2 linked regions of the Oryctolagus cuniculus genome follow. The protein of the gene in region 1 purifies or fractionates together with the protein of each later gene. This does not show direct contact. Links are inferred from orthologs where the notes say so. Each region holds a gene or a part of one and is shown in the gene's direction. Other genes may lie near its edges.

Region 1 (8,509 bases):
GGAGCCGGCACACGCACTGCCAGCTTGGCCTGTTGCTGTCATGGCAGTGCCTGGCAGAGGGGCCCTGCAGGACAGCGGTGTGCCACGGAGCTGGGCCTGACCTTGGCGGTGGCCTCCCGCCGTCTAGTTCTGCCCACTCCTGATCACTTCCTTCTCTGGAGCTTGAGAGGGGGCTCAGAGCAGTCCTGGAGCCTCTGGTGAGCCCCTATGGGGCAGCCAGCCCTCCCAGCAGAGCCCCTGTCTCCCCTTGGGGATGCCCGAGGGGTTACAGATGAGCCCAGAGGGCCCTGATACTCACTGTCGCTGGTAGGGAGGGGTCTGGCCAGGGGATAGGACCTGAGTCCTGAGCAGCCCGGAGAAGAGGAAGCAGCAAACTTGCACCCGTGCGCCACGCTTCTGCTCTATTCCGGGCCAGAAGGTGTTTCCATGGCAGCAGGTGCATACAGGCTTCAGCTCACACCTTGGGCAGGATGTTATCACTCTCATTTCGCGGGTTTAAAACCCAAGCTGCTCAGAGAAGGAACTTCTCAAAGGGCGCACGCACATCCAGTGGGCGGCACAAGGGGCGCTTTAAGCCCAGTCCCACAATGCTGTGTCCAGTGCTTATCCTGCGCCTTCCATATCACTTTGGTCACTCAGGTAGCACCAGGCTCTGTGCTCAGGGTGGGGGAGGCGAATCTGGGAGGGAGGGCAGACGTAGTGGTGGCCAGGGTAGGGGTTTGGATGCCGGGGTAGCAGTTAGGGTTGACGGTCTGGGTTCCCGCCCCATGTCCTCCGCCACCTAAGAGCACCTTGAATCCCCCAGCACCATGTGTGGCAGCTGCTGTCATGCCACACAGCCCATTTCCCCCCTGAAGAAGTGTAAAAGCTTCTCTGGTTAAACGGCCAGGAAGAGATGGGACTTGAATCCAGGAGCAGACGCCCAGGCCTGCATGGAATCAGGGAATGCAACAGGGAGGGGCTGCAGGAAGTGGGATTGGAGACTGCCCAGGGGGATGTGGGTGGTCCGGGCCCAGGGAACAGCATGTGCAGACACAGAGGGCAAGACGCTGGGGCTCACCCACAGCTGGGGCCTGCTGCACAGAGGTCTGTGACCATGCCAGCCTGGAGGAGCCAAAGGTACTGAGCTGGTGCCTGCAGCAGGGCGGGGCGGGGCGGGGTAGGGAGCTCTATGCGGGTTAGTGCCTTTGGTGCGCACATGGGAGAAAAGCAGACTTAGCTTGGGCAGAATCTGCACCCTGTGCCTAGAGGGGGCCGGCTGAGGAAGATGCCGAGCAGTGCCCTGGATGTGCAGCTCAGCTGTTCCAGGAGACAGAAACCCCCGCCCAGGCTGTGGGCTGCGGGCTACAGATTGAAGCAGAAGACCAGGGCTTCCTTTCCTGCTTTGTCCCAGCCTGGCGATCTTGGACCAGTCACTTAATCACCTGAGCCTTAAGTCTCTCATCTGGAGAAATGGGATTGGAGGCTCCGCCTGCTGCCCCCACCGGGCTGTTGAGAACAGGGCTTTGTAGAAATCTTAGACCCAGCTTCTTAAAACTCTTGACCCAGCCACCGTGTGAGTGGAGGGGAAGCCTGTGTGTGGAGACACAGTCTCCACCCCTGGGAAGGCAGACTCATCAGGGGCACAGAGAGGAAGCCCCACTAATCCTGGGATGCAGATGTGACTGGTCCCCCTTGAGCTACTTCCTCTGGGACAAGGACGTTCACACCGAGTTTGAAATCTGGGTTCTGCCACTTCCCAGCTGGGTGACCTTAGCACTTTGGAGTTTAGGGTTCCACTACCTGTAAAAGGAGGCTAATAAAACCGGCCACGTGGAGCTGTAAAGATCAGAGCCAATCATTTGCGTGCAAGTTCTCTGGAGTCATAATTTTAGGGCAGGCTTTATGGAGACGGTGAGCCCTGAAGGGCACCCTGGGAAGTGACCCCTTCTTCAGTGCCCCTGCCCTAGCCATGGAGCATCTATAGGCTTAGTGTGCAGCAGCGGCACTAACCCACGCGCTGTCTCTGGAGCCACCAGCTCCCCTGCCCCACCCCGCTCCCCTGTCCCGCTCCCAGGAGATAGGCTGTCCTGTTCATCCTTGTCCCCAAACCTGCCATCTGTGACATCATTCAGGAAGCATTCCTGAATCCTGCCCCGGGCCCTCCCTGTCCAGAGCCTGTGTGGAGCCTGCAGGCTGCTGTTGCCCTGGAGCTTGCTTACTTAGGGGCAGGGCAAGGCAGGCAATAAGCTGACAAGTCATTTCGCAGAGCGCTAAGGGAGTAAAACACAGTCATCCTTGTGGTATCTGTGGGGCATGGGTTCCAGAAACCTGCAGATAATGAAATCAGAGGATGCCCAAGTCCTCTACGTCAAATGGCACTGGATTTGCCTGGAACCTAGGCGCACCTCTCCTCTACTTTAAATCATCTCTCCTAATCCAGTGTAAACGCTATAGAAAGAGTCGCTACACTGTGTATTTTTTTTTTTTTTTTTTTTTTTTTTTTTTTTTTTTTAAGAAATAGTGACAAGAACTACAAGCCTGCATCCAGGATGGATGCAGTCCCTTGGTGGGTCCACCTACAGGGCGCCACCCGTGGTTGGCTGACTCTGCAGATGCATGGAGACCCTGGGCTGGCTGCAGGGCAATTGCTAGACAAGTGGTTACGGGGAGGTGAGGCTGCTGCAGCCAGGGCCGGGGCGGTGGGGGGAGGTCAGCAGGCCTGGGAGCAGGGGGCTTAGAGAAAATCTCAGGGCTGAAGCCTGAAGAGACGGGGAGCCCTTGCAAAATGTAGGTCCTGGAATCTGTGGGCAGGAAGTTCAGACAGAGACCCTGGGCGGGCACATGCTGAGCTTGCTGCGGCACCAGCCTGCTGGAGAGGCTGTAGCCCTTGGGCTGCCCGCTGGCCGCAGGGAAAGGCCTGTGGACACTCTTGAACTTGTGGTATCATCTAGTGTGGGCTTTGAACAGGTCACGGTGGCGTTGTGTGGAGAGGGAGGCACAGTGGCTGGGTCTGCAGGGTGGCTGCTGGGCGGAGGCAGCAGGGGCAGAAGACAGGAAGTGATTCTATCATGGCAGCCTCATATCTGAGCCATTGCTGATCGGTGGGGTGCGAGCTGGGAAGGAAGGGGAGATCTCGGAGGGCAAGCGTGAGGCTTGGGCCTCAGGCAGGGAATGGATTACAGTGCCTTTTACCAAGATGGGGGAAAGAGGAGAGGAGCGAGTCTGGGGAATGGAAACTCATATGAAGGCGGAGATGCCTGTTAGACTCGCACTCGGGCCAGGGCGGGGATGGGGAGCGCCCCTTCAGCCTGTTTGCTTCCAGCGATCGGCTGGAAGTCAGGTGGATGCCTCTATTTGATTGCTTCCTTTGTTTCATACTTTTGTGACCTCATGGGGGTAGCTTTCTTGGAGCGGGATGGATAGTCCACACAGCTACAGGGCTGAGCAGGGGATTGAAGGGAGCATTGGGACAAAGCCACGCACGCAGCCACTGGGCACGTCTGCAGAGGGAAGGTTACTCATGCATGACTGGGCAGGGCCGGGGCAGGGGGAGGCCCCAGGAGCCAGGGCTCAGCAGACTGGGGCTGTTTCTAGCGAGGGTAAGGGAGTAATCAGCCACCCACCTGCGTTCTCCTCCTATGGCCCTGGCAATTGCCCACTCACTGGAAGTTGTGGGAGAGGGGTCATTCTGCTTTGTGTGGGAGTCAGGTAGTATCCCAGGTGCCCCACCCCTGGGCTGGGCCTAATCAGAGACTCCCTGCCCGAGCTCGCCCTTCCCTCGATCCCCAGACATCAGAGACGGAGGCCAATGTTCCCTGTGCCCCTTCGTCCTGGGCACACGCCTTGGGCAAACACTTCCTCCTGGGAGCCAGCACCAAGCTGGCTCTGCGGGTCCTCACGGATTCAGTGTGCTGAAGACAGAGGCCATGCCAGACCTTGTCCCATGTGCAGAGACAAGACGACCAACAACATGGGCAACCAGGGCAGTTTTGCTAAGTGCCTGAAGGAGGAGGATTGGGGGCAGGGTGCCACGAAAGCACAGGACAAGGGTTCGGGTGCAAATAGTGCCCCCTGAGAGCCCCTGATCCAGCCAGGAAAACTCCAGTAGAAGGTAGGAAAGGCAGGGCGTGTGGAGAGGAGGGGGCCGGGCACATGCCTGGGGGCTGGGAACTAGCCCAGAGTGAGTTCAGCGGGCAGAGAAGGGCAGAGAGATGGGCACAAACTGATCGTGCCAGCAGGCCCTGGGCACTGCGGGCTGCCAGTGTGTGGGCTGCATGCAGACAGGAATGCCCATTGTCTGGCGCCCCAGTGGGTGTGGCAGGACCCAGGGCTCCATGCTTCAGAAAGGAATGCCAGATCGGGGGGTGGAGGGGCGCCCCATCCTTGCTGGGCTGAGCTTGGAGTCCCCCTCTCTGGAAGGCAGTGGGGAGAAATGGGCAGACCCCAGGCTGGGAGTTGGAGGCCTGGGCTCGGGCCCTGGTTCTGCCATTTTATTTTTTAAAGATTTATTTATTTATTTGAAAGGCAGAGTTACAGAGAGAGAGGGAGAGACACACAGAGAGGTCTTCCATCGGCTGATTCACTCCCCAAATGGCCACAACAGCCAGGACTGGGCAGGAGCTAGAAGCTTCTTCTGAGTCTGCCACGTGGGTGCAGGGACCCAAGCACTTGGATCATCCTCTGCTTCTCTCCCAGGTGCCATCAGCAGGGAACAGGATCAGAAGTGGAGCAGCCAGGGATCAAACCGGCACCCATATGGGATGCGGTGCTGCAGGCAATGGTTTTAACCCGTTGTACCACAACACCAGCCTCTCTGCCACTTCCTTTTTTTTTTTTTTTTTTAAGATTTATTTATTTGAAAGTCAGAGTTACAGAGAGAGGTGAGGCAGAGAGAGAGAGGGAGATGCTTCACTCCCCAATTGACTGCAATGGCTGGAGCTGTGCCGATCCGAAGCCAGAAGCCAGGAGCTTCTTCTGGGTCTCCCATGTGGATGCAGAGGCCCAAGGACGTGGACTATCCTCCACTGCCCTCTCAGGCCACAGCAGGGAGCTGGATCAGAAGTGGAGCAGCTGAGTCTTGGGGGCTGGCGCTGTGGCACAGCAGGTTAACACCCTGGCCTGAAGCGCCAGCATTCCATATGGGCACTGGTTCAAGACCCAGCTGCTCCTCTTCCAATGCACCTCTCTGCTATGGCCTGGGAAAGCAGCAGAAGATGGCCCAGGTACTTGGGCCCCTGCACCCACGTGGGAGACTGGGAAGAAGCTCCTGGCTCCGGATTGGTGAATTTCTGGCCGTTGCGGCAAACTGGGGAGTGAACCAGCAGATGGAAGACCCCTCTCTCTCTCTCTGCCTCTCCTTCTCTCTCTGTGTAACTCTGACTTTCAAATAAATAAATAAATCTTTAAAAAAAAAAAAAAAAAAGAAGTGGAGCAGCCGAGTCTTGAACCGGCGCCCATATGAGATGCCGGCACTGCAGGTGGTAGCTTTACCCGCTACCCCACAGCGCTGGCCCCTAAATAAATATTTTTTTTTTAAAGAAAGACAGAGTGAAAGAGAGAAACAGACAGATTTCCCATCCACTGCTTCACTCTCCATGGCCAGGACCAGGCTGGGCTGAAGTAGGAGCCAGAACACAACCCAGCTCTCCCTCATGAGTGGTAGGAATGCCATGATTTGCGGCATCACCACTGCCTCCCAGGGACCACATTAGCCGGAAGCCAGAGTCAGGAGCTGTGGAGCTGGGCATGACACCCAGGCGCCCCCAAATGGCACGCGGACATTCTAACCAGTGTCATACTCTCTGGGTGGGGCGATTGCTTAGCCCATTGCATGTCGAAGAAGGTGGCTGCCGCGTGGTTTCCTGAGTCTCCTGCTTGTGGGGTGTGAATGAACGTGGCCGACTGGGCACAAATGTCAGGCACAGAGAGGTTGAGTAGCTTACCCAGGGTCGCCCAGCAGTAGGAGTGGCGCCGGCAGGGAACAGCAAGTGCAAAGGCAGGGGACGGTGGGTACGAGGGGTTTGAGGCTGTCTGGCTGTCCAGATGTGAGAAGCACTCTGATGCTCGGGTTCCCCAGCAGGGCAAGCAGAGATAGTGGGCAGGTGTGCAGGTCCCTGCACAGCCATGTGTCTGTGTCCTAGGAGGCTAATGGGCCTGCCGACGGCTACGCTGCCATCGCCCAGGCTGACAGGCTGACTCAGGAGCCCGAGAGCATCCGCAGATGGAGGGAGGAGCAGAAGAAACGGCTGCAAGAGCTGGGTGAGGACCGGGCCGAGCCTGGGGCTGGGCTGGGATGCGGCATGGGCGGACTAGGGAAGCAAAGGGTGTATAGGACCCGGTGGTGTCTCCGTGTGGGAGCTGGCGGAGGGCGGGGGTCCTGGGGCTGCAGGGAGGGGCAGCTGTGCCCTGGCATCCCACCGGAAGAGCTGCCACTCATTCTCCTGTGGGGTCCTAGATGCCGCCTCTAAGGTGACCGAACAGGAGTGGCGGGAGAAGGCCAAGAAGGACCTGGAGGAGTGGAACCAGCGCCAAAGCGAACAGGTTGAGAAGAACAAGATCAACAACCGGTGAGAGCCTGTGGGGACATGACAGGGGCCCAGGGACGCAAGGGCGCTGTGGGGACATGACTGGGGCCACAGGGACGCGAGGGGCTGTGGGGACATGACGGGGGCTGCAGGGACATGAGGGGGCTGTGGGGACACGACGGGGGCCACAGGGACACAAGGGGCTGTGGGGACATGACGGGGGCCACAGGGACACGAGGGGCTGTGGGGACATGACGGGGGCTGCAGGGACACGAGGGGCTGTGGGGACATGACAGGGGCCACAGGGACGTGAGGGGCTGTGGGGACATTACAGGGGCCACAGGGACGCGAGGGGCTGTGGGGACATGACGGGGGCCACAGGGACGTGAGGGGCTATGGGGACATGACGGGGGCTGCAGGGACACGAGGGGGCTGTGGGGACATGACGGGGGCCACAGGGACGCAAGGGGGCTGTGGGGACACGACAGGGGCTGCAGGGACGCGAGGGGGCTGTGGGGACATGAGGGGCTGTGGGGACATGAGGGGCTGTGGGAACATGAGGGGCTGTGGGGACGCGAGGGGCTGCAGGGACGCGAGGGGCTGTGGGGACATGAGGGGCTGTGGGGACACGAGGGGCTGTGGGGACACGACAGGGGCCACAGGGACACGAGGGGCTCAGATGCAATAGGCGCCCACTGTTTCTGGCCCTCAGTCTGCCTCCCTCTGTGTGGGCTTCAGTCTTGGGCACACGCTGCTGGCGGGGGTGGGGGGGCAGAGATGGCCACCAGCAGCTCCAGGCTTCTGTGCTGTGCTCTCGGAAGCCCCCTGAATGCTGCATCTGGCTTCAGATGGCTCCTGCCGAAGTCCTTGCCCCTGTCCCTGACCCACGGCAGGCCCAGTGACTTGCCAGGACGAGGGGCGCTCCACTGGGCCCCCCTCGGGGGTGATGGTCATATTCCTTGGTTGAGGTATGGGCGTCTGTGCCACCCAAACCTTAGGGACTGAAGTGGGGGCAGCCTGAGGCTGCCGAGGACAACAGGTGCCATTCTTAAGGAAGGGGGTGCATGCCCGCAGGTGAAGCGGCAGGGCTGCACCAGCCAACACCCCGAGATGCCCGCGGGCTGGGCCCCTCCAGCTGCAGGCTCTCTCAGGAAGGGCAACACCACGTGGGGAGCTGCCACACTCTGTTCAAGAAACTGCCCATGGCAGGTATGGAGCTGGGTGCACACACAGGAGGCCCTGTGTGTCCTCGGAAAGCTGAGAGGAGAGAGAGAGGCATGCACTGCCGACCTTGCAGGGCCCTCAGTGTGGTGGCCATGGAAGCAAAGGAAGCGAGAAGCGCTGGGTGCGGAACCTCAGGGCCTGGGGCCTTGGGCTTTGGAGGATGACTAGGAGTTCTGGGGAAAAAGGAAGCAGGGGTTATGGGAAGGCATTCTAGATCCAGGCGCCGCCTGGGACGTTGGGCGGGCCTTGGCTGACCAGGTCCCACAGGGAGCCTGGCAGGACAAGTAACAGGTTCAGGGCCCAGTTTTGGAAGCGGCACCGTGGCCAGGACAGAAGATTGCCCCTCTGCCGGGTGGGGCCGAGCCTTCCCGACACCTCTCCTGCCAGAGGTACTAACGCTGTCTCTCTTTCTCTTTAACCCTCTGCCTGCCTGGCTGCCTACCTTGTCTGTCTTGCCACCCTTCTCCCTGACCTAACCCCTAACCTCGCCCTGAAGGATCGCCGACAAAGCATTCTACCAGCAGCCGGATGCTGACGTCATCGGCTACGTGTATGTGCCTCCTCAGCTGCTTGGCTGCTGGCCGGTGGCTGGCACGGTTTCTGGAGCCCCAGCTTGTAGGGTATAAATGAGCGGGGGCTGGCCCTGGGGCAAGCCCAGGGCAGAGCGGACGCAGGCACCACCCTGCCTCCAGAGCCCTTGCAGGGCAGGGGAGGGGGCCCCGTGGGGCTGAAGGGTGCTGGGGTGGGGGGGTTGTTTTTATCGGGGGTACCCTTGGCAG
Region 2 (9,301 bases), on another chromosome or scaffold:
ACTGGCCATCTTGAGAGATAGCGGACAGAGGAGGAGCCCCAGACCCAGGCTGAGGCTGGGCAAGCCCCTGGCAGCAGCAGCACCTCCAGTGAGACCCTTCCCACACAGCTTCGGTGTTGTGTTTCTTCTAAAATGGAGAGGAGCGGCACTGTGGCATAGCAGGCAAAGCCACCACATGCGATGCCGGCATCCCATATGGGCACTGGTTCAAGTCCTGGCTGCTCTGCTTCCGATCCAGCTCTCTGCTATGGCCTGGGAAAGCAGTAGAAGATGGCCCAAGTACTTGGGCTCCTGCACCTGCATGGGAGACCTGGAAGAAGCTCCTGGCTTCGGATCAGCCCAGTCCTGGCTGGGGAGTGAACCAGCAGATAGAAGACCTTTCTCTCTGTATTCCCCTCCCTCTGCCTTTCAAATAAATAAAATTAATTAATTAGTTAAAAAGGAGAAAGAAAAAGGGACAGTGTCGCTTAGTAGAGCGGATGGTTGGTAGAGGCCCATGGATTCTCTGCGTATTACGTGCTGGGGTCCTTGCCCCTCCCTGGAATCCTCTCGCTGAGGCCTGCCATGCCGCACCCCCCCCCCCCCGCCTCGCCCCGCCCCACCCCAGCCTGTGTTTGAATCGTGCGTGTTCTGAAGCCAGGCCTCCCCTGCGCTCACACCCTGTGCCCTGGGATTGGCTGGGTTGTCCCCCCAGCGTCTTCTGTGGAACAACTCCTCCACTTCTTTCAGCACCTCCAAGGCAGAGACACAGGCCCAGAGACGCCCAGCGACCTGCCCAAAACAACCAGCTGATGAGCAGCAGAGCAAGGACTTCCTGCAGCGCTGCCAGGCCCCGGGTCTGCGCGTGGACCCTAGGGGCTGGCCAGCCAAGGCGTGCCTAAAACCCTGGGTCCTCTAAAGGCTCGGGATTCTTGCAGCTGTGACGTTTGGGGGCCTAAAGGGGCCCATACTGAGGGCCTTGGACATATATTTCCGAAGAGTGAATTTAGAGACGCTCCCTGGCAGCCTCAGGGGTTCGGAGCAAAGGTTGCCTCCAAGTGAGGTCCTCTTGTGCCAGCCCCCTCCCACCCCCACTTCTGGGCTGGCAACGGCCCCTCCCTGTCCTGTGTCTCTCTGGGTGCCAAAGGGCAGCTTAATCCACTGTGCCTTGGTGCTGGGCCCCCTTCATTGCTTTTTTTTTTTTTCTAATTTTTTGACAGGCAGAGTGGACAGTGAGAGAGAGAGACAGAGAGAAAGGTCTTCCTTTGCCGTTGGTTCACCCTCCAATGGCCGCTGCGGCCGGCGCATCGCGCTGATCCGAAGCCAGGAGCCAGGTGCTTCTCCTGGTCTCCCATGGGGTGCAGGGCCCAAGCACTTGGGCCATCCTCCACTGCACTTCGGGCCACAGCAGAGAGCTGGCCTGGAAGAGGGGCAACCGGGACAGAATCCGGCGCCCCGACCGGGACTAGAACCTGGTGTGCCGGCGCCGCAAGGCGGAGGATTAGCCTAGTGAGCCGCGGCACCGGCGCTTCATTGCTTTTAAAACAAAGTCAGTCCATGAGCCTAGGTAAGCCCACCACGTGGGACTCGAAGCATCTGAGCCATGGCTGTGGCTCTTCCACTGGTTCCAGAGCGGGCTGAGGCCTCGACCCCGCCCCTGCTCCTTGTAAGCCAGGAGACCTCGGGTGAGAGCGCCTACTGTGTAACAGGTGAACAGTGGGCCTCACAAGGCCATCAAGAATGGGGAAAATGGCGAAATTAAGACCCCTGGCTGAAAACGACCCCCATTGTCCTGGTATCCTACCTGGCCCCCACGGGCTGGGCTCTCCCCCGCCCTGGCCACCTAGCTGGGACTGCTGATGTGACTGTCACAGCTCCAAAGCATTCTCCCCAGAGGCCCGCCGACTTCCAAGTGGAGCCACCCTGCTCCGTCCGTAGTTAGCAGGAGCTCCCGAGAGCCGGGCACTTAGGGGACAGCCGGTGACCTGGCTGCTTTGTTAGCGGAAGGGGCATTCCTGCAGCTTCTGTCCAGCACGGCCCCGGCTTCCCCTGGCCCCTGCCCTCCACAGCCCCTGGGTGCTCACTGAGGGATTAACAATAGCAGCAGCAGCCAGAGGACGCCTCGACCATGGTGGTGGTGGGGGGCGGGGGGCTGCTAGGCTGTCCGTTCTGTCCCCTCTCGGGCTTATCAGTGGTCCACAAGCAATGCTTGTGCTGGAATGGGCTTGGGCGGAAGTCATGGGCCACCGATGTCACAAGCTGATTAAAGCCACCAGGGGTCACGCCCCAGGGGGCACACTCAGACTTTTCCCTGCTCCCTCTCCGTTATGACACTGCAGAGCACCTACGGGCTGCAGGCTGAGAGATCCCCACGTGGCCCGCAGCCGGTGAGGGTGACGGGGACAGGTGCTGCCCAGCCCAGTGCACACAGGGGGTGCCCCGTCTGGGCCCAGCAGCCCCATCCCAGAGGCAGCGCCTGGCTGAGTGTGGAGCACATCCCAGTGGCTGTCCACTTCAGTGTCCTCAGCCTTGAAAACCGGAAGGAGAGGACTAGGGGCGGATGTCCCATGCTGATGGTGTTGCATGACAATCTGAAATCTGAGGCTCTGAGACACTCTCAAGGTTCCCCTGTACGCTTCTGTCAACAACAACAAACGGCCCTGGCTGGCGCACGGAACAACCAGGCTCTGGGGAAGGGGATCCCGGCGCCCGGCCAGCACACACCTGCCCATGGCACCGCCGAGGACACATCCTCGCTTGCCTATGTGCACTTGTCCGGGTCGGACCCCGGACTCAATTCACCTTGCACGGCCCCCGGACACTCTCGGAACCGAGTTCACTCTCCCACGCACGCACACCTGCTCTGGAGGGGCCGGCCCAGGGGGTCCCAGTCCACTTTCCCGCGCACTCCCTCGAAGCCAAGGCCACCTTGGCGCGCAACTGCCCCGGGCACCCAGCCGGCCACAGCGCCAACGCTCTCCAGGCCCGGGACGAGGAGGAGGGTGCGGGCGGCGCCGGCCAGAGCAGCGGCGCCCCGGACTACTTTTCGCGGACCCTCCGGACGGGCGGAGGGATCCTCATAGGGCGCGCGCGGAGGGATCCGCATAGGGCGCGCGCTCGGGGGGCGCGGTGCCGGCGACCCGGGACAGTGCGCCTGCGCCGCCGCCGCCGCCACCGCCGCCGCCGCCGGTCTGTCCGCGCGAGGGGAGCCGCCACCGCCTCGGCCCGGCGCCCACCATGGCGCAGATCCTCCCCATCCGCTTCCAGGAGCACTTCCAGGTGAGGTCGGGCCCCGACGCCGCGGCCGGGCGGGCTCCGGGGGGTGGGTCGCGCGCTGGGTCCTGTCAGCCGCGCCCCCCGGCCGGCCGGCCGGCTGACCGCCCGGGGGGCAGGCCTCTGGTCTCACGGCCCCGCGCCCCTCGCCCTGCGGTGCCGCTGGCCCCCCGCCGCAAGCCGCGGGCGGACACCTGGGTCGGGGTCCGGCTCGGGAGCCGCGCGTGCGGACGCTTTCGGGGCGCTGTCGCTCGGCGGCTCGGCGGGGGGCGCCCGGCGTCCGGAGCGCTGGGAGAGCTCGGGGGTGGGCACCGCACCGCACGCCTTGGAAACTCCGAGTCCAGCTTCCATTCTCTTCTCTGTGTCTTGCGACCCTCACCGCTGAGTTTCCGTCTGTGGATCTGTCCCGGTCCCCCCTGGTGGCTGGTGGGGCAAGACAGTCAAATCCGTCTCGGATGCGTAGGATCGGCGTTTGTTATTGCCTGTCAGTTAGCATCCCTGGTATCCAAGTACAGGTGCTTTCGTTAGGACCCTCGAGTATGGCACCTGCTAACACACCGGTGCTGTAACACCCGCGAGGTTTTGCTCTGCCGTGAGGTCCCCATTTGCTCTGCCCAGCAGATTCGTGCTGGAAGGGGGGTGGTTCAGGAAGGTGGGCGCACCTGTGAAAAGGTGTCCGCTTACAGGGGGAGGGGTTGAGGCTGCCGAGGCCCTAGCTGAGGGCTACGTGCTAAGTGCTTCCTTTGAAATCATCACAGTCCCCTAGGGTACTGGATGAGGAAGCGCCGGGGGCACCAATGTTCATTCAGCAAACCGAGAGCGGGATTCAGACTTCAGACTTCGGGCTTCTTGGCTACACAGCTGTGGCAGCTGCCAGGAATGGGGTTGATGGAGAGGTGGTACTTGGGAGTTTCAGGGGGACCGGTCCGGCCCCCTCTGTCTGTGCCTTGGAAGGGATGCCCGGATGATCCTGCCCAGATCAGTTGGGGAGTCAGCCGGTTGAGGTCGCACAGGGTGGGGGTGGAAGCCTTGAACCTCCATCTCTCTCCCTAAGCTGGGGCAGCGCCAGTCAGGCGAGGTAGCAGAGTACCTGTTGATAAAACGAGGGTACTTCGGAGAGTTCATTGGCAGTGGCATTACAAGAAGTTTGGGGCGGGCATTTAGCCCTGCAGCTGAGAAGCGCGCATCACGGATCTAGACGATGTGGGTTTGGCTCCGGCTCCCCGCTCCCGGCTCTCGCCTCCCGCCTCCCGGGAATGCATCCCCAGGGGGCAGCAGTGACGCCCCAAGTAATGGAGCTCCTGCCACCCAGGAGGGAGTCTTGCATTGAGTTCCTGGTTTCCATCTTTGGCCCCAGGCAGCCTGGACCATTGTGGGCATTTGGGGAGTGAACCAGTGGATGGGAGTTTTTTTCTCTCTGTCTCTTTCGAGAACCTAAAAAAGAAAAAAAAAATTTTTTTAAAGAGGTGAGTTTATTTTGACACAAGAAAAGGCTTTGAAATCCATGCAGTTTTTTTTTTGTACTATATATTTTTACTGAACTTTTTGTTGCATGGGTTTCAAATTTTTTTTTTTATCAAAATAAGCTTCCCTTTTTATTCTGTTTTCCACAAACTTTTTGAAGTCCCCTCATACTTACCATTTATTGGGCCATTTGTCTTTTTAAAATGTGTGTGTGTGTGTATTTATTTATTTATTTGAAAGAGTTACAGAGAAAGAGAGGTTTTCCGTCTGCTGGTTTACCCCTCCAGTGGCGGCAGTGGTCTGCTGGGGCTGGGCCAGACTGGAGCCTGGAGCCAGGAGCCAGGAGCTTCTCCTGGGTCTCCCACATGGGTGCAGGGGCCCAAGGGCTTGGACCATCCTCTGCTTTCCCAGCACATTAGCGTGGAGCTGGATCAGAAGTGGAACAGCCAGGACTCGAGCTTGATGTCCATATGGGATGCTGATGTCTCAGCCAGCAACCTTACCTACTATGCCAAACCCAGCCCCAAGAGAGAGAAGTCGGCCGGCGCCGCGGCTCACTAGGCTAATCCTCCGCCTAGCGGCGCCGGCACACCGGGTTCTAGTCCCGGTTGGGGCGCCGGATTCTGTCCCGGTTGCCCCTCTTCCAGGCCAGCTCTCTGCTGTGGCCAGGGGGTGCAGTGGAGGATGGCCCAGGTGCTTGGGCCCTGCACCCCATAGGAGACCAGGAGAAGCACCTGGCTCCTGGCTCCTGCCATCGGATCAGCGCGGTGCGCCGGCCGCAGCGCGCCGGCTGCGGCGGCCATTGGAGGGTGAACCAACGGCAAAGGAAGACCTTTCTCTCTGTCTCTCTCTCTCTCACTGTCCACTCTGCCTGTCAAAAAAAAAAAAAAGAGAGAGAGAAGTCTTCCATGTGCTGGTTCACTCCCCGTTTGTCCACAATGGCCGGAGCTGTGCCTATCCAAACTCAGGAGCCAGGAGCTTCTTTCAGGTCTCCCACACAGGTGCAGGGGCCCAAGGACTTTAGCAGGGAGCTGAATTGGAAGTGGAGCAGCTGGGTCTTGGGATGCCATCACTGCAGGCAACGGCTTTACCTGCCAAGCCCCAGGCCCAGCCCCAAGAATGGGGCCTTCTTAACCCCCAGGCTCAGTGTCTGACTTGAGCCCTTTCTTTTGGACTGGATATATTAGAGATCTCTTTTCACTGAATCTTCCTAGGAACTGATGATAATCTCGTTTTTACCATAGTTGACTCAGGTGATTTCAGAGTCAGTGACAGCTCAGATCCCACCCAAGTCTCTGCTTCCATAGCCTGAACTTAACCTGCCGATCAAATGTGCTGTTTTCTTTAAAGACAAGAAAGCAATCAGCTGTTTTAAATGTCTGTCCACGGTGTCTTGAAGGGCTGTGTTCTGTCTCTCCTTTTTTTTTTTTTTTAAGATTTTATTTATTTGAGAGGCAGAGTTGCAGACAGAGAGAGAGGTCTTCCTTCTGCTGGCTCACTTCCCAGATGGCCACGAAGGCTGCAGCTGTGGCAATCAAAGCCAGGAGCCAGGAGTTTCTTCCGGGTCTCCCACGTGGGTGCAGGGACCAAGCACTTGGACCATCTTCTACAGCTTCAGCAGGGACCTGGATCGGAAGTGGAGCAGCTGGGACTTCAACCAGAGCCCATATAGGATGCTGGCACCCTCCGGTGGAGGCCTAACCTACTATGCCACAGCGCTGGCCCTAGGCTGTGTTCTCTTATCTGTAAAGTACTTGTGGCATGCAGACAATATAAATGAAACTCTGTGGTCTGTGGTCTCCGGATTACCCGGGTACTTGGCGGCTGCTCTGTGCCATCAGCACACTCTGCCTTCATGGCAGACATTTCAAAACTTAGGCTTGTTTTTGGATCTCTGATCCTGCCACACCCATCTTGCTGCCAGCCAGTGACTTGGCAGTGACATCACAGGGACATGACTGGGGAATGTTCATCCCCTCCAAGGCTTCAAACTTACAGACATCTCTTCCTGCCTTCCCGTCCCTCAGAAGTGGTGTCCTTAACCCTCATCTGTGTTCTGGATGCTGCGCTTTCTCTCCTCCAGGAAGGGCCTTGCTCAGTACCATCTTCTCTTTCCCTTGTTGTTTTTTGTTTGTTTGTTTTTGCCAGGCAGAGTTAGACAGTGAGAGAGAGAGAGACAGAGAGAGAGTTATAGACAGAGCAGAGAGAAAGGTCTTTCTTCCGTTGGTTCACCCCACTAATGGCCACTATGGCCGACGCTGCACCAATCTGAAGCCAGGAGCCGGGTGCTTCCTCCTGGTCTCCCATGCTGGTGCAGGACCCAAGCACTTGGGCCATCCTCCACTGCACTCCCGGGCCACAGCAGAGAGCTGGACTGGAAGAGGAGCGGCCAGGACTCAACCCAGTGACCATATGGGATGCTGGCACCACAGATGGAGGCTTTACCCACTGTGCCACAACGCCAGCCCTGAACACACTTCTTTCTGTCCCTTCGTCCTCCCCTCGAATCTCTTCCCTCAGAGACAGAGTGAAGGAATTGCCTTCTCTATCCAGCCACTCCTTGCTGTTTCTCAATAGCCTGCTGCCTGGTTTTGGCCTGACTCACTGTTCTTGCCAGGGTCACAGGGTCACAGGTCATCTATAAGGGCCAGATAGCTTGTATGTTAGGGTTGGAGGCCATATCCTGTCTCTGCTGAGGCTCCTTCTCCCTTTTATTTACCTTGTAAGCACTTCCCCAGCCGCCTTCATGGTGCTGCAGTTTGCTGGGGTTTCTCTTACCTTTTTACACACCCGTTTCCATGGTGGGCTCCTCGTGCACACGAGCTTGGGCTCTGCCTTGAGTCCCTTTGCCTTCTCATTCAGTGTGCTCTTCCGGGTGATTTTTAGGGATTCCAGTATGCTCAGTGTTCCCAGTGTTTTTGCTGAGCTGTGCACATGAGAAGCAAGAGCAGGCCCTGGTAACAGCTGAGATGAGGTCAGACTGAGCCATGAGATCTCGCCTCAGTACTCACTGGCTGTGGGAATTTGGGCAACATTTCTAACATTTTTAAAAAATATTTATTTATTCATTTGAAAGGCGCCGCGGCTCAATAGGCTAATCTTCCGCCTGCGGTGCCGGCACCCTGGGTTCTAGTCCTGGTCATTGCACCGGATTCTGTCCCAGTTGCTCCTCTTGCAGTCCAGCTCTTTGCTGTGGCCCGGGAGCGCAGTGGAGGATGGCCCAAGTGCTTGGGCCCTGCACCCGCATGGGAGACCAGGAGAAAGCACCTGGCTCCTGGCTTCGGATCAGAGCAGCACGCCGGCCACAACGTGCCGGCCGTAGCAGCCACTTGGGGGGTGAACCAACAGAAAAAAGAAGACCTTTCTCTCTCTCTCTCTCACTGTCTAACTCTGCCTGTCAAAAAAAAGAAAAGAAAAGAAAGAAAAAAGGCAGAGGCAGAGAGAGAGAGAGCGAGAGAGCTTCCATCTACTAGTTCACTCCCCAAATGACCACAATGGCCAGAGCTGGGCAGATCAGGAGCCAGGAGCTTCTTCCCGCTCTCCTGTGTGGGTGCAGGGGCCCCAGGACTTGGGCCATCTTCTACTGCTTTCCTAGGTGCGTTAGCAGAGAGCTGGATTGGAAGTGGAGCAGCTAAGACTCAAACTGGCACCCATATGGGATGCCGTTGCTGCAGGCAGAGGCTTAACCTACGCCACAGTGCTGGCCCCATAGTCCATTTTCTTTTGCTGCAATAAACTGCCTGAGGCTAGATGACCTTATAAAGAAGAGAGGTGGGCCTGCAGTTCCGAGGGTTCAAGGGCACTGTCAGCTTGGCCCTGGTGAGGACCGTATGGTGGGTGGCATGGTGGTAAGGGGAGAATGTGCTAGAGGGAGCAGTCGTGTGGTAAGCTAAGAGACCAGAGTGCTGGGGGAGGGGCTGGCTCATTCTTCTTATGGCAGCCCTCTTTCAAGAATGCATTCAGAGTCCCACGAGAACCCCAGAACCCCTCTCGAGTGGGGGACCCCAGTGCTCTCCTGCTAGGCTCCACTTCATGGGTCCCACACCTCCATACTGCTACAGAGATCACATCCAAACCCTCGCACTTAGATGGTGGTTCTCAGAGTTGCTGGGAGGTCTTGAGTTAATAAATGTGCAGTGCTGCTGGAGTCTGGAGTCTGTTACACAGTGAAACACGGTGGCCTTCTAAGCTTTTGCTGCAGTTCTGAGAGCTGCCTTTTGGAGCCCCTTGTGTGGTTGGAATTCCCTCAAAGACGCCATGTTCAGAAACGGGGTTCCTCCTTCTCCCTAAATGTCTGCTTGCTCCGGTTTCCAGCCAGGACCCTAGGTGTCTGCATGGTCCCCACTCTGCTGATTCTTCCTCCTCCCTGTCATGGCCCCCATGGCTGACTGTGGCAGTCACAGCAGCTTCGTCCTTCTCCCGCTGGTCTTGCGCACCCTGTCCCTTCTGCAGCACGCGGGGAGAGCTGTCTTCTCAGAGGATGAGTGTCTGCCTCAAAATCTTTTTGGGGAGGGTGTGGCTGCCCATTGCCTGTGGGACTGGCATGTGCCCTTGGAAGGGCTGCCCAGTCCAGCACCTGCTCCGC

Evidence for each region.
Region 2: the proteins of CLTB (region 1) and CLTCL1 purify together in Homo sapiens (affinity purification with mass spectrometry; 3 studies listed by BioGRID and IntAct, with this or other methods). This does not show direct contact. The link is inferred for Oryctolagus cuniculus from reciprocal best matches to the Homo sapiens genes CLTB and CLTCL1.

The regions. Positions count from the first base shown.
Region 1 is NC_091437.1:62,401,729-62,410,237, reverse strand, and holds part of CLTB (clathrin light chain B), read left to right. Parts: intron 1-6,122; coding exon 6,123-6,240; intron 6,241-6,436; coding exon 6,437-6,548; intron 6,549-8,226; coding exon 8,227-8,280; intron 8,281-8,509. UniProt on the Homo sapiens protein: Clathrin is the major protein of the polyhedral coat of coated pits and vesicles.
Region 2 is NC_091452.1:27,067,654-27,076,954, reverse strand, and holds the start of CLTCL1 (clathrin heavy chain 2), read left to right. Parts: upstream 1-3,107; 5' UTR 3,108-3,216; coding exon 3,217-3,258; intron 3,259-9,301. UniProt on the Homo sapiens protein: Clathrin is the major protein of the polyhedral coat of coated pits and vesicles. Two different adapter protein complexes link the clathrin lattice either to the plasma membrane or to the trans-Golgi network.